Pelodiscus sinensis: one gene and its partner. The protein of the gene in region 1 interacts with the protein of each later gene in a pairwise test. Links are inferred from orthologs where the notes say so. Each region holds a gene or a part of one and is shown in the gene's direction. Other genes may lie near its edges.

Region 1 (7,663 bases):
TGGAAGTGGGCCACATCCACCCTGATCGAATTAGTGCTGATGTAATGCTCCCATCTCTGTTTCTCTACCATCTGATTCTTTCCCTTCATGCATCTGATGAAGTGAGTTGCAACAAGCAAAAACTTTATAACTTGATAAAATGGTTAGACTTTCAAGGAGCCACTGGACTCCTTGTTTGTGCCTGTGTAAGCACTTCTCTGGCAATTACTCCTTAGTTATCAGGGCTGTTGGGTAACTCAGAGTGTGCTTGGAGGCCTGGTTGTGTCCTGCCACTGAATAGGACAGAGGCAGACATTTTTCCCTCTGAAGTTCAGAGGCCTTGAGCTGCTAAAGTATGTGATTTAATGCAAAAGAAGAAACTGTTACAGCACCTCATTATGCAGGAATGCGTTACAGGAACTGTATGCTAGGGTAATTTCCCTTTCTCCAGCTGGAGGACTCAAGAAAGAGCAGTATGCCCTGCAGCTCCTGCTTCTTGGTCTGGCCCCATGATGCTTCATGTGCTCTATGCTACAGGACTTGGCACTACGATGGCAGAAAATGGGGAAACTTCCTGGCATTCACTGATGCAGGGAACTGAGGACTAATTTCGCATCTTAGTACACACAGCAAAGTGTAACTTTACTGGTGATTTCACGAGGTGACAAACCCGCTACTAGCACAGAGTGCAATGGGAAGACAAATGAGGCCAGCACCAAAAGGAAGACCCAGATCACAGCAAACAGGACGACTGCCCCACTGTGGTCAGAGAGCAGCCGACATGCCAACAGGTTGTGTCCCCCAAAAGCCCTGCCACATGCCCAATGGCAATGAAGCGCAAACTGCAGCAGGTACAGGACTTAATGTTTATTTAAAAAACCCAGACACAAACAAAACCACATTGTAATAGTGACGCTCTGCAACAGCAGGCAGCATCACAGATACAGCAAAGACTAAGGCTCTGCAGGGCTTACTGAGCAAAGGGTCCAGAGTTCAGACAAGCACTTGCAAGTGGCCAGTAAGATCTTGCTTTGCTTCCCTAATTTATATCAGGAATGATGCTTTACAGAGGCAAACAAGATTGTAAATTACATATTTTAAACTCCTCCCTCTGTCCCAGAGCTGCACAAGCAGAAAGGCGGGCTTTGATGGCTGTTGTATTTCTCAGAAATCTGTGCTCGAGAGCAACCACAGCTGCAATGACAACTTGGAGGCAGAAGTCTGAGCGGGACATGTCTCACTTATTCTTAGTGAGAAATTCTGCAGCGCTGGCCACTCTATTTTCTTGCTGCCCTGTATCACAATAGATCAGCCATTCCAGCCCAGGAGAGATGAGAAATGAACAAATGTTGAACAGCCAGTCTCGTATTGCCTTTTGCTGGAACCTGGCTCCAATCACACCCCCATCCAAAGAGTGAGGCCAGAGCTAGCTGCAGAGGCTCACCATCCCTCTAGGTACTGGGATAGATTAGTCATTTAGTAGATTACGGTCTGGTGATTGGTTTTCTGCATCTGAATGATTTTGCCAAAGCCACCTCTTCCCACATCATAGTCTGTCCGGTATTCGTCTCGCACCTGGGGCAAAGCAGTAACACAAATCAGCATCTGCACCTGGCTAGACAGAGACATGCTAGGCACCCTCTTCGCATACATTGGTGGTGGGCTGAAGCTCAGATTACAAGCCTTTGCAAGCCCTTAAAATACCTTGCAAAGGAACCATTACCAAGGAGACTGATGGGAAGACCTGACTTTTCTAATGGCGGGGCCATCATTAGACATAATGAAGCAGCAGAGAAGGGCCAAATTCTGTTTGGTTTTGCTTTGCAGTTCATCTTTATGAATCGCCAAAGCCTGAACCTAAAGCTTTGTTCCTCTGGAAATCTGGGAAGAAATTTTAATCTTCTCATAGGCATCATTTGATGATTAAACTAGCTTTAGAACCACACCATCCCCATTATGATCCTGTTTCTCACTCCCCACCTTGATTGCTACACCCTTTTGAGAACACTATCTTGAGAAGTGAGCAAAGCGGTTTGTTTTGGGCCATAGGGAGCTTGGAATGTAGTTTCAAAAGGCATTAAGTACCATGCTCCTACTCTAGTGATCTTAAAATAATTTTAGACTGGCTTCAGTTCATTACTGGGTCTGCCATGGATGACTGCCTTTGTACTAAGGATGTGAATGAATAGTCGGTTAATCTAGTTGGCTACTCGCATTCTGTCCCCGTTGCCTCTGTATCTGAAGCAGCAAGGGGAGGGAGAAGCAGGAGCTGGTGCCACCTGCTTCGGCCCCCCATACCCCACACTGCTGCCTCTGTCCCAGCCCCCCGTGGACAGGGGCTGCTGCTGGAGCAGCCTCTGTCGCTGGCCAGCCTGGGTTGCTGCAGACAGAGATTGCTCTGGGGCAGCCTCCACTGCCTCCTACTCTCCCAGTAGCCTCTGTCCACAGGGAGCTTGGACCCTTGCAGACAGGACTGTTGCAATCCTGCACTGCTGCTTCTGTATCAGAGGGAGCAGTGCAGGGTGGCAAGCAGCCAGCCCACAAGGGGAGCTGGTTTTTAAACAGTTTCTCCTCGCAGACTGGCTCCCTCCTGGCACCCTGCACTGCTGCCTCTGATACAGAGGCAGAAGCGCAGAGTGGCAGGGGGCTCCCTCAGAGTGGGGCCAGATTGCATGGCTGCCGGCCCTTCCCCCCACGGACTATAAAATAGTCAACTAACCGCTAAGAATTCAATTAACCGACAGCTAACATCCCTACTTTGCACTGGATCGGCCAAAGGTAGCTCCACCCATCACCCAGTCCCAAGGAAGGCTGGCTCAGTGCTGAAGCTAGTATTTTCTTTACCTGTCCTCCAGACTTTCCTCTCCCATATTGTCGTCCCTCCTTAAACCCTGCATCCCAGTCAGTCCTGATGATCCGATCATCCAGTCGGGTGCCATTGATATACCTCATTGCATGCTCAGCATCTGCTCTTGTATAATACCTGGAATTTGTTATAAGGAAGACTCAAAGTGTTGTTCAGCTTGTCAATGCCAGCTGCATACAGGGAATGAGAGAAATGACTATATCCACAGCAATGTCAGTGACTGAGGCAGGATGGTAGAGAAATAGCAGACCCTGTGAAGGAGGGAAACTGTTTGGTACTGTGAATGAAAGCTCACAATTTTCATGTTTGCTCACATATCACAGGAGCATTCCCAGCTCCTCCAGAGAGGCCAGATATGCTCTGTAACATGCTGATGTTCAACAGAACTGAGGGGATATAATCCACCCAGGATGCGATTAATCAAAAAGCAGTGGCAGAAAAATTATGGCAACAGAAAACGGAAAAGGATACTCCACGAAGCAGAAGCCACAAGGGGTTTTCTTGACCTTGTCTAACCCCATGACAATCCTCTTAACATCTCCGCATTTGGAGAAGAGCTCCTGGATCTGCTCCTCAGTGGTGTAAAAGGACAGGTTGCCCACATACAGTGTGGAAGAGAGCTTCAGGGCCTTATCCTGTAGGTATCGGCTACCCTGAGAGCACAACAAACAGTAAATGGAAACAGCAACCTACTGTTCAGGGAATGCCTGACCCACTGGTTGTGAAACTGCTACTTCTGCCTGTTTGAGAACCTCCCCCTCCTACTCCAGCAATGAAGTGCAAGATGGCAATCATGGCAAAGGGCATGGGCACTTCTGCCTCCCTCAGGTTTGGGTACTGCACCCTGCCATCTCCTGGGCTGCCATCAGCACCTCAGGACCTGCCCCCTGGCGCTGTGCATCCTGTCCCCCGCCGGTGCTGTACACCCATGTGCCCACCCCCCGGTCCTGTGCTCATCCCCTCAGGCTGCCGCTACGCACCCCTGCCCCCAACCCTTGGCACTGTGCACCCTGCCCCCACCCCTCAGGCCCCGCCCCCTGGCGCAGTGCACCCTGCCCCCACCCCTCAGGCCCCGCCCCCTGGCGCTGTGCACCCTGCCCCCACCCCTCAGGCCCCGCCCCCTGGCGCTGTGCACCCTGCCCCCACCCCTCAGGCCCCGCCCCCTGGCGCAGTGCACCTGCCCCCACCCCTCAGGCCCCGCCCCCTGGCGCTGTGCACCCTGCCCCCACCCCTCAGGCCCCGCCCCCTGGCGCAGTGCACCCTGCCCCCACCCCTCAGGCCCCGCCCCCTGGCGCTGTGCACCCTGCCCCCACCCCTCAGGCCCCGCCCCCTGGCGCTGTGCACCTGCCCCCACCCCTCAGGCTCGGGCCCTGCCTGCGCGCACCCGGAAGTGCTGGTCGCGGTACTGGCTGATCTCGCAGTAGGAGTCGCTGCTGAGGCCGCCCAGCGTGGCGCTCAGCGCCCCCGACATCCCGGCCCGGGACCCGGAACCTTCCAGAAGCAGCACGGGGCCGCCTAGCCGGGAAGGGAAGCGCCGAGCAGCCCATTGGCTAAGCGCCTGCTACTCACCGCGAGGGGGCCGGGCCTACAACCCCATTGGTGAGGGGCCGCGGTATACGTGCGTCACGTCACGGCAAGCCAATCAGCGCGCTAGGCTCGGCCGCCGCTAGCAATAAAATGGTGGCGAGGCACCGCCCACCTCTCGCGCTGGGTCTCTGGGAGCTGTAGTTGTCTGGCTCGCGGCAGGGTGCGCGCGCAGCACGATTTATCCCAGCATACTCCGCGGCGCGAGACGCCGCCTGCTTGGGCGGGAAACGGTGCCTGGCTGAGGTGGCGCGAGGCGAGTGTCGCTGCCCGTGACAGGAGCCCTGCCCGTCGGCGGCAGGTGACCGTGCGTCCCCGGCGGGGCTCGTAGCCCGCCATTGTATGCGCGGAGGTCGCCTTCCTCGCCGGCCTCCCCCGGGAGCGCGGGCTGCGGCCGTGAGGGGCTCGGCGCTCGTCGCCTGGGAGCGCTTCTGGGGTGGGTGACCCGCCCTCGGGGGAGGCCAGGGGAAGCTGAGGGGTGTGGCGTGGGGGGGGGGGTGTCAGGAGTAGCAGTGGCCCTGGGCAGGGCGCTGAGGGGTGTGGAGTGGGGGGGTGTCAGGAGTAGCAGTGGCCCTGGGCAGGGTGCTGAGGGGTGTGGCGTGGGGGGGTCAGGAGTAGCAGTGGCCCTGGGCAGGGTGCTGAGGGGTGTGGCGTGGGGGGGTCAGGAGTAGCAGTGGCCCTGGGCAGGGTGCTGAGGGGTGTGGAGTGGGGGGGGGGTGTCAGGAGTAGCAGTGGCCCTGGGCAGGGCGCTGAGGGGTGTGGAGTGGGGGGGGGGGTCAGGAGTAGCAGTGGCCCTGGGCAGGGTGCTGAGGGGTGTGGAGTGGGGGGGGGTGTCAGGAGTAGCAGTGGCCCTGGGCAGGGTGCTGAGGGGTGTGGAGTGGGGGGGGGTGTCAGGAGTAGCAGTGGCCCTGGGCAGGGTGCTGAGGGGTGTGGAGTGGGGGGGGGGGTCAGGAGTAGCAGTGGCCCTGGGCAGGGCGCTGAGGGGTGTGGAGTGGGGGTGTGTGTCAGGAGTAGCAGTGGCCCTGGGCAGGGTGCTGAGGGGTGTGGAGTGGGGGGGGGTCAGGAGTAGCAGTGGCCCTGGGCAGGGTGCTGAGGGGTGTGGCGTGGGGGGGTCAGGAGTAGCAGTGGCCCTGGGCAGGGTGCTGAGGGGTGTGGAGTGGGGGGGGGGGTGTCAGGAGTAGCAGTGGCCCTGGGCAGGGCGCTGAGGGGTGTGGAGTGGGGGGGGGTGTCAGGAGTAGCAGTGGCCCTGGGCAGGGTGCTGAGGGGTGTGGAGTGGGGGGGGGGGTCAGGAGTAGCAGTGGCCCTGGGCAGGGCGCTGAGGGGTGTGGAGTGGGGGTGTGTGTCAGGAGTAGCAGTGGCCCTGGGCAGGGTGCTGAGGGGTGTGGAGTGGGGGGGGGGGGTGTCAGGAGTAGCAGTGGCCCTGGGCAGGGCGCTGAGGGGTGTGGAGTGGGGGGGGGGGTGTCAGGAGTAGCAGTGGCCCTGGGCAGGGCGCTGAGGGGTGTGGAGTGGGGGGGGGGGGTCAGGAGTAGCAGTGGCCCTGGGCAGGGTGCTGAGGGGTGTGGAGTGGGGGTGTGTGTCAGGAGTAGCAGTGGCCCTGGGCAGGGCGCTGAGGGGTGTGGAGTGGGGGGGGGGGGTCAGGAGTAGCAGTGGCCCTGGGCAGGGTGCTGAGGGGTGTGGAGTGGGGGTGTGTGTCAGGAGTAGCAGTGGCCCTGGGCAGGGTGCTGAGGGGTGTGGAGTGGGGGGGGGGGTGTCAGGAGTAGCAGTGGCCCTGGGCAGGGTGCTGAGGGGTGTGGAGTGGGGGTGTGTGTCAGGAGTAGCAGTGGCCCTGGGCAGGGCGCTGAGGGGTGTGGAGTGGGGGTGTGTGTCAGGAGTAGCAGTGGCCCTGGGCAGGGTGCTGAGGGGTGTGGAGTGGGGGTGTGTGTCAGGAGTAGCAGTGGCCCTGGGCAGGGCGCTGAGGGGTGTGGAGTGGGGGTGTGTGTCAGGAGTAGCAGTGGCCCTGGGCAGGGCGCTGAGGGGTGTGGAGTGGGGGGGGGTGTCAGGAGTAGCAGTGGCCCTGGGCAGGGCGCTGAGGGGTGTGGAGTGGGGGGGGTCAGGAGTAGCAGTGGCCCTGGGCAGGGCGCTGAGGGGTGTGGAGTGGGGGGGTGTCAGGAGTAGCAGTGGCCCTGGGCAGGGCGCTGAGGGGTGTGGCGTGGGGGGGTCAGGAGTAGCAGTGGCCCTGGGCAGGGTGCTGAGGGGTGTGGCGTGGGGGGGTCAGGAGTAGCAGTGGCCCTGGGCAGGGTGCTGAGGGGTGTGGAGTGGGGGGGGGGTGTCAGGAGTAGCAGTGGCCCTGGGCAGGGCGCTGAGGGGTGTGGAGTGGGGGGGGGTGTCAGGAGTAGCAGTGGCCCTGGGCAGGGTGCTGAGGGGTGTGGAGTGGGGGGGGGGGTCAGGAGTAGCAGTGGCCCTGGGCAGGGCGCTGAGGGGTGTGGAGTGGGGGGGTGTGTCAGGAGTAGCAGTGGCCCTGGGCAGGGTGCTGAGGGGTGTGGAGTGGGGGGGGGGGTGTCAGGAGTAGCAGTGGCCCTGGGCAGGGCGCTGAGGGGTGTGGAGTGGGGGGGGGGGTGTCAGGAGTAGCAGTGGCCCTGGGCAGGGCGCTGAGGGGTGTGGAGTGGGGGGGGGGGGGTCAGGAGTAGCAGTGGCCCTGGGCAGGGTGCTGAGGGGTGTGGAGTGGGGGTGTGTGTCAGGAGTAGCAGTGGCCCTGGGCAGGGCGCTGAGGGGTGTGGAGTGGGGGGGGGGGGGTCAGGAGTAGCAGTGGCCCTGGGCAGGGTGCTGAGGGGTGTGGAGTGGGGGTGTGTGTCAGGAGTAGCAGTGGCCCTGGGCAGGGCGCTGAGGGGTGTGGAGTGGGGGGGGGGGTGTCAGGAGTAGCAGTGGCCCTGGGCAGGGTGCTGAGGGGTGTGGAGTGGGGGGGGTGTCAGGAGTAGCAGTGGCCCTGGGCAGGGCGCTGAGGGGTGTGGAGTGGGGGTGTGTGTCAGGAGTAGCAGTGGCCCTGGGCAGGGTGCTGAGGGGTGTGGAGTGGGGGTGTGTGTCAGGAGTAGCAGTGGCCCTGGGCAGGGCGCTGAGGGGTGTGGAGTGGGGGTGTGTGTCAGGAGTAGCAGTGGCCCTGGGCAGGGCGCTGAGGGGTGTGGAGTGGGGGGGGGTGTCAGGAGTAGCAGTGGCCCTGGGCAGGGCGCTGAGGGGTGTGGCGTGGGGGGGGGGGTGTCA
Region 2 (7,932 bases), on another chromosome or scaffold:
ATTTAGGAAGAGTCTAACCCATTTCTGATGCTACTGTAATCTTAAAAATACCAGACTATGTAGCACTTTAAAGACTAACAAGATGTTTTATTAGGTGATGAGCTTTCGTGGGCCAGACTCACTTCCTCATATCAAATAGTGGAAGAAAATTGGCGTGACCATATATACCAAAGGATACAATCAAAAAAATGAACACATATGAAAAGGACAAATCAAATTTCAGAACAGAAGGGGGTAAGGGGAGGAGGTAAATGTCTGTGAGCTAATGATACTAGAGGTGATAATTGGGGAAGCTATTTTTGTTATGGGTAAGATAATTAGCATCCTTGTTAAGACCTAGGTGTAACGTGTCAAATTTAATCATGAAGGATTCTCTGAATTTGACACTTAGGTCTTAACAAGGATGCTAATTATCTTACCGGTTACAAAGATGGCTTCCCCAATTATCACCTCTAATATCATTAGCTCACAGACACTTACCTCCCCCCCCCATCCTCCTTCTGTTCTGAAATTTGATTTGTCCTTTTCATATGTGTTCATTTTTTTGATTGTATCCTTTGGTATATATGGTCATGCCAATTTTCTTCCACTATTTGATCTGAGGAAGTGGATCTGGCCCACGAAAGCTCATCACCTAATAAACCATCTTGTTAGTCTTTAAAGTGCTATATAGTACTGTTTTTGTTTCAGCTAGACCAGACTAACACAGCTACATTTCTATTACTATTCTTAAAAATACCCTTTCCTATCTCTTTGTTTTCTGTTTGCTCTGTTCTATCTTCATGCGCCTATCTTTTGCTAGAGCCCATTCCCATTTTCCTCCTTTCAATACTAATATTTTATGCACCAGTGTGTTTCTAGTTGGCTGTTGCCTATGGTTAACACTTCTCATTGTCAAATATCTGTCTGGTGCTATCAGTGGTACCCACTCACAGCGACTGCAATAAGGCCTACTGAGGGAGGCTTCTTCCACCTAATTTCATTAAAATGCCCTAAATCCAGCTGACAATTTTTCCCTTCAGTTGAATGGCCAATTATGGGAAATGGGATAATATACTCTGAAAGTGATTTAAATTAATTTCTGAAGTTTCAGAGGAGTAGCGGCGTTAGTCTGTAACAGGAAAAACTTCAAAAACAACAAATAGTTTAGCAGCACTTTATAGACTAACAAAACGTATTGTAGATGGTATCATGCGCTTTGTGGGCACAGCCCACTTCTTCAGATTATCAGAGTTAATTTCTGAGTTGGTGTAGAATAATACTGTGGCTAGCTAAGAAGTAACAATAGTTACCACCATACAGAACAGGGTCGATTTTGAGGGGGCCTGGCACCTGTACACATATAACAGACCCTGCCGCCTCCTTAAAATACCACAAAGGTGCGGGACCATCTCCATCCACTGCTGGTCAACCTGGGCTTGAGACACCGGGGGAAGGACGCACAATTCTAGCCAGTTACAGTGCACGCAGCTGGGACCGCATGGCTCATCGACTGGCTGTAAGCGCCGGTAAATCTCTGACTGGAATAGTTACGAGCCCGGATCTGAGGCTGTAACTGCAGCGACCTGCAGTGCGCGAGCTCTAAAACCACTTCCGCCCCCCCCCCCCTTCCCGACTCCAGTGCAGGCACGGATGTTGTGATCACATGACTGTCAGGGAGGTGGACAGGCCTCGGTTTATTGGTCGGGGTAAGATCACGTGGAAGGCAGAGGGTGAAGGGGTGCGAGACAGCTGCGATGATTGGCGGTACTGAGATTGGGGTGTAGTCACGTGAAGTGGAGGTTGCTGGCTTGGGACAAATAAACATGGAGGCCATCTTCCACGAGAGGGTGAGAGGGCTGTGGGGGAGGGGGTACTTTTGGTTGAGCGGGGGGCGGGAGCGGTGAGGGCGGAGCTGACAGCCTAGGTTGGACGGGGGGATAGGAGGGTATTTCAGAGAATTGGGTAGCAGCTGATGATTGGGCTGGGCTGGAGGAGAAGAGGAAGGGTGGGGTGGGGTGAGAGGTCCTACAGTCCTTCGTAGGGAGGGGAGTTAGTCAGTGGCAGTGCCTGGGGCGAAGGAATGAGGGGGGGGGGTTGCAGCCCATGGCTGGATGCGGAGGCTGATGAATTTCTTCTATCCCGTGGAAGACTTGGAGCAGGGTAGTACTTGAAGCTGTCTTTTTAACGCTTCCCAAAGCGACTACCTGACTCCATTGCCTTATCCACATTGATCTTGATGTTATATTGCCTTCTTCTATAACTTAGTGCTGATGAGGTTCCTCTCGAGTGGAAGGGGAAAGCCAGGTAAAATGACAGTTCAACCAGCTACACCTTAGAAGAAATCTAGGTACCTTTCAAAGGTGGTTACAAGCAGTGTCCATACTACTCCTTTTTATATAGTTTGTTTGCCATGGTGAGGTTTTATTTCTAGAACCTTTTAAAAAGTACAGAAAAAATAGTATTGTGCAGAATGAAGTTTTTACTCTCTTGAGACTGAAGAATGGCTTAAAATGAGAAATGCTTATAAAGATGAGCAGTGGGAGATGTGGGTTTTATTTGTGACTTCTGGCACCATCTTGCTGTGCCTCTGTTCATAGCAACCTCTCTCTGCCTCAGTTTCTGCATGTACAGAGTGGGGATTATGAAACCTGTTTCAAAGTAGGTGTTGTGAAGACTTTTATTTAATGTTAGTACTGTGTTTCTGAAGATGTAAAGCACCATATGAGTGCTAAATATTTTGTTTCCAATGGCAAATACTTCTGCTATTCATGATTGCCTTCAGAGTCCTAAACAGTAACTTCCATACCATTGCATTCCCATGTCTTGCTTATGTCTTGTGTACTTTAATCATTACCAATAACAAGTTTTTCATACTATAATTCTTAATAAACTTCCTTTTGTAAATGTAGGTTGCTCTAGTTACTGAGAGATACAGTAACTAAATCAAACCAAACTAGTTCCTATCTGAGTTAAATGCCCCTTCCAAAGAAGGCAACCTAAAAAACCACAACTTCTTTTGTTTTTAAAATAAGTTCCTATGGAAAGATGGCTTCACAGACTTGGAATGAAAAAAGTAATTCTGCTGAAACTAGATTAATAGGTAGAGTAGTATTAATAAGATCAAAGTTGCACAGGAATTGCTATTGTTTAAGTAGTGTAAGGTGCAATTATTTTACATCAGTGTGCAGTACAAGAAACGTGTATACATTTATGAAAACATTTGCTATTTGACAATGTAGTAATCCAGATTACTGAGGTGGAATTAAAACATCTATATATAAAAACAAAGTTTCCAGCGGGATGACAGAGTGATGTCGTCTGTCACTTTGACTCCCCCAGCCTCTCTCACCCCCGGGCTCTGTGGAGTCATCTGTCACATGGAAAAGTGGAGCTATAGGGAGCTGGGGGTGGGTGCTGTCTAGCCTGTGGCCACTCAAGCTTCTTTGGAGCAGGCAGTGGTGGAGCTGAGCTGGGGAGTAGGCAGCTATGAAGCAGGGTGGCCTAACTCCATGTGTGGCAGCCACTTCACAGCCTCCCTTTGCCCACTTGGTCCTGGGTGCCTTGGGTCACAGCCAGGAGCCACTTGAGAAGAATAGAGGCAGAGATGTCTGTGTCCCTGATGTGTGCCCTTGCCTGTGGGTTGCTGGTGGAGGAAGTGGGGGTGGATTGGCTCTCTGCATCCTCCTGCCAACAGGATACCTAGCTCAGTCCTACAGTGCATGGGGCATGCCAGGTTCCTTTGTCACTGACTGCATGGAAATGCTCCCAAGGGGCGCAGAGGTGAGGGGTTCCCCCACCCACTGAACACCTCCCCCCACACTGGGGCCTTCACCCACACCCCACCCCTGCCAGCTTCATGAGGCATAAGTTGGGGGCTTAGCTCTCTCTCCCCACCATGCTGCCCCCATTGGGCCTTTGTCCCCTCCCCCGCCCCAGACTCCATGCCACATGGGCTGGTGGTTTACCCCCTCCCTCACATGCTGCCGCCCCACCCAAAGGACTCCATATGGCTCAAGTTGGAAGGCTAATTCCCTTGCCCCCTGAGGGGTCACACAGGGACAGCCCAGCAGTGTTTGGAGCAACTGCCAAGCCAATGGTGCTGTTTTCTTGCTGGTTAGGTTTCCCATTTGTGGGAGAGGCAGAGCGTGTGGAGGGAGGGAGGAAGGGGGATAGGGTGATGTGGTAAAGGAGGATGGGGGTGAAGGGGGATATAGGAATGGAGGCAGGGGGATGGGCAGTGTAGGGGTATGGAAGGGGAGGGGTTAGAGAAGGATGGGAGGGTAGGGATAGGCAGGGGGGGAGAGGGGCTAGGGACAATGGTTGTAAGAATGGAGCCAAGGGGGTGAGGATAGGGATGGATGAAGGTGATGGGGAGGTTGAGAGGTTTGGGAGGATGGTGGGTATATGAATGGAGGCAGGGGTATGGGGGTAATAATGGAAGGGGGGGTGGACTGTGGGCCATGGAGCTCCAGGCCCCAGTTCCCTCCCCTCCCCTTCCCATCCCATAACAGCACATGCGCTTCCCCAGAAGCCAAATCCAGTGTGGAACCTGTGGCCGGGGGTGGAGATCCAAAAGGCTAGGGCTGACATGGCCCCATCCCTCACTGGCAGGAGAGCCAGGTCTGCTTACCCCCAGAGACAGGGGGGTTGGTGAGCATAGCAAGCAGGGGGCACTGTCCCATAGTCTAGTTAAATATCTGAAGCAATAAGCAACATATTCTATTCTGTTGTGACATCTGTTTTCATAGATTTTAAAGACAGAAGGGACCATTGTGATCATCTAGTGAGCCTGACCTCCCATGTAGGTGGAACTTCCTCCAAAATAATTCCTGGAATTTATCTATTAGAAAAACATCCAATCTTGATTTAAAAATTGACAGTAATGGAGAATCTACCACCACCCATGGTGAATTGTTCCAGTGGGTAATTACTTTCTGCATTAAAATGTATGCTTTATTTTCAGTCTGCACTTGTCAAGCTTCCACTTCCAGTCATTGGGTCATGTCTACCTTTGTCTACTAGACAGATGAGCCCATTATTAGTTGTTTGTTCCTTATGTAGGTACTTATAGACTGTGAGCATGGCCCCCCTTAACCATTTCTTTGTTAAGATAAAAAGATCACACTCCTTGAGTGTGTTGCTGTAAGGCAGGGCTTTGGAGGACCCCGGGGCTGCAATGATTCTCAAAGCATATGCCAAGGGCTGCAACTTCAGTGTGGTTGCATGGACATGCAGATAGCTTCTTTCACGTTGAGGGGCATGAATACAAAAATTAAGGCAAGACTACTCAACACACAGACCCCATTTAAGTCAGTTCTGCTGATATTAATAAAATGCAATATTTACCTAGTTTCCATCTATATGACAGCACTTTTAATGAGTAATGACAATCCAGGAATTTGATTACTAAAACACATATCAGCAGAAGACCATTATATTGACTACTTTTTTGTTTTGGCTCCCACCTGCAGGCCGCCTGTTGAGCCCTGCATAAATCCAAACCTCATCACGGACCACAAACAAACGGGCTGTGGGCCAAGTAGCCCTGCTGTAAGGCATGTTTTCTAATCCTTTGCTTATTCTCGTGGCTCTTTGGATAACCCACTTCTTGAATTGTGAACATCAGAACTGGAAACAATATCATAGCTGCAGTTGTGCCAGTACCAAAACCAGAGGCAAGAAAAACTTCTCTACTCTTACTTGAGAGTCCTTTGTTTATGGCCCCCAGGATTGTGTTAGCTCTTTTGGCCACAGCATTACATTGGAAGCTCATGTCTCGCTGACTGTCTACCACGGCATCCAAACCTTTTTTCAAAGTCACTGCTGTGCAGGATAGTGTACACCATCCTGAAAGTATGGCATACATTCTTTGTTCCCAGATGTATGTATTTACATATGGCAATATGGAAATGCATATTGATTGCTTGTGGCCAGTTTACCAAGGGAACTCAATTGCTCTGAGTCAGTGATCTGTCCCGTTCATTATTTACCATTAGGAGATTTACCTGGTATCGTTGGATCCTTAACTCAATTAATTTTTGCATTTCTTCTTTTAAATCAGGGGTTCCCAAACTTTTTGACACGGGGACCAGTAAATCTATTCATGAGCTTTTGGAGGACTGGTAACGTTCATTTGCATATTCAATAAGCAAAAGATGAATATTCAGATAAGTTGTTTCTGGTCCTCCCAAAGCCCCCAGTGCCAGCGTTAGCAAAGCTTTTGATACAGTCACTCACAATATTCTTGCCAGCAAGTTAAGGAAATATGGATTGGATAAATGGACTGTAAGATGGATAGAAAGCTAGCTAGACCAGGGTTTCCCAAACTTTTTACTTTAGTTGGAATCTGTTTTTTTTCAGTATTGTCTTTTGAAGTCCAAAAATATAAACGCATATTAAAAAAAAAGAATGAAAAATGAATAAATTTTCAGTGTTTCACCCGGCTACATTCTCCACCCAGCCTGGGCCAGGGCTTGGGGGACCCAGCGCCACATGAGCACTTCAGGAGGCGGGAGCACAGGCAGATTGGGGGTAGGGTATCTGGCTAGGAAGGAGGGTGGAAGGAAGGGTAGGGTTGCCAGGTGTCTGGTTTTGTACTGGACAGTCCGGTATTTGAAGGTTTTGTCTGGGAAAGAAATTACCAGACATATAAAATGCCTGGTATTTTCTAATTAGGTACATTTTATTATAATTAGGTGTATTATTCCTTAGCTGCCTGGCTGGTAGATGTGCTTACGCAGTCTGAGTGTGTCTACCTGCCAGGCAGTTCGCAACTACTCCAGGGAGGGTATGTGGGGGAGAGGGGGCAAAATGGAATCTCCGGCCAGACTCACTCATCTGCCAGGGTCTGCAGGGTCTGCATGTGCGCAGGTCAGTCCCGCTTCCCCCCTTTCTCTTCCCGATCTCCCCAGTCCAGCCCTCCTGCCCCTGTCCAGCCCTGCTTCCAGCAGCCGGTTCACCCACCACCTACCAATCTCCCCCGGTCAGCCCTGCTCCCCTGATGACCCCCCTTCTCCCCCACACCAGCCCCACTACCCCCGTCCAGCCCTGCTTCTGGCAGTTGATTCTCCCGTCCTCCTCCTCCTGATCTCCCCCGGCCAGCTCCCCCTATCCCCCGTGCAGCCCTGGTTCCGCCACCTGCCCTCTCTGATCTCCGCCACCGGATAGCCCCGCTGCCCCCAACCCTGCTTCCGCCGCCCACCCACATGCCCGGATCTCCACGGGACAGCCCCACTCCCTCAGTCCTGCTTTCGCTGCCCGCATTTCCGCGGGACAGACCTGCTGCTTCCAGCCCTGCTTTGGCCGCCCACCCACCTGCCTGTTCAGATCTCCACCAGGACAGCCCCGCTGCCGCCAGCCCTGCTTTTGCCACCTGCCTGCCCGCCTGGATCTCTGTGGGACAGCCCCGCCGCTCCCAGCCCTGCTTTGGCCACCCGCTTGCCTGCCCACCTGCCCGGATCTCCACCGGGACAGCCCCGCTGCCCCCAGCACTGCTTCCCAGCGGCTGGTTCCTCCCTCCTTCCTCCCAGCCCACCACGCTCTGCTCCTCTCCCGGCAGCCATGCTGAGGCCTGGTATTTTTTTCCCGCAGCTCGGTACTGGGCCGCGACCCATAGTTTGGGAAACGCTGTTTTAAATTATTACCTGGGGGTACAGTATGCAGGCTTCCCTGGGGAAAGAACTGCTCTCGTGCAGCAGCTTAGGGCCAGGTGAGAAGTCCTTCTCTATGGTTGTTACCCTCCACCTACTGGAGCTGCATCAGCTCCAGGGGGGTGGATGTCCCCTGGCTGCAGCTGGTCCAGGCACATCTGCACTCCATAGCCAGATTGAGGAATGGAGCAAACTGCACTTTCCACTTGTTACCTGGGAAAAACCAGAAATGTTCCTATATGAATGGGGAGGAAGGCTTTTGGCTCTCCCTAAAGGGTACATGGGAGGGTGGGACACTTGG

What was found.
Region 2: the proteins of TEX11 (region 1) and ATXN3 interact in binary tests that used the Homo sapiens proteins (3 or more experiments, as listed by UniProt). The link is inferred for Pelodiscus sinensis from reciprocal best matches to the Homo sapiens genes TEX11 and ATXN3.

The regions. Positions count from the first base shown.
Region 1 is NW_027465980.1:262,895-270,557, forward strand, and holds the start of TEX11 (testis-expressed protein 11), read left to right. Parts: upstream 1-4,599; 5' UTR 4,600-4,730; intron 4,731-4,740; exon of another isoform or gene 4,741-4,865; intron 4,866-7,663. Other genes in the region: nuclear cap-binding protein subunit 2, read right to left, coding at 1,456-1,554, 2,824-2,962, 3,317-3,498, 4,230-4,316. UniProt on the Homo sapiens protein: Regulator of crossing-over during meiosis. Involved in initiation and/or maintenance of chromosome synapsis and formation of crossovers.
Region 2 is NC_134714.1:30,853,010-30,860,941, forward strand, and holds the start of ATXN3 (ataxin-3), read left to right. Parts: upstream 1-4,849; 5' UTR 4,850-4,864; coding exon 4,865-4,905; intron 4,906-5,453; coding exon 5,454-5,532; exon of another isoform or gene 5,533-5,657; intron 5,658-7,932. UniProt on the Homo sapiens protein: Deubiquitinating enzyme involved in protein homeostasis maintenance, transcription, cytoskeleton regulation, myogenesis and degradation of misfolded chaperone substrates.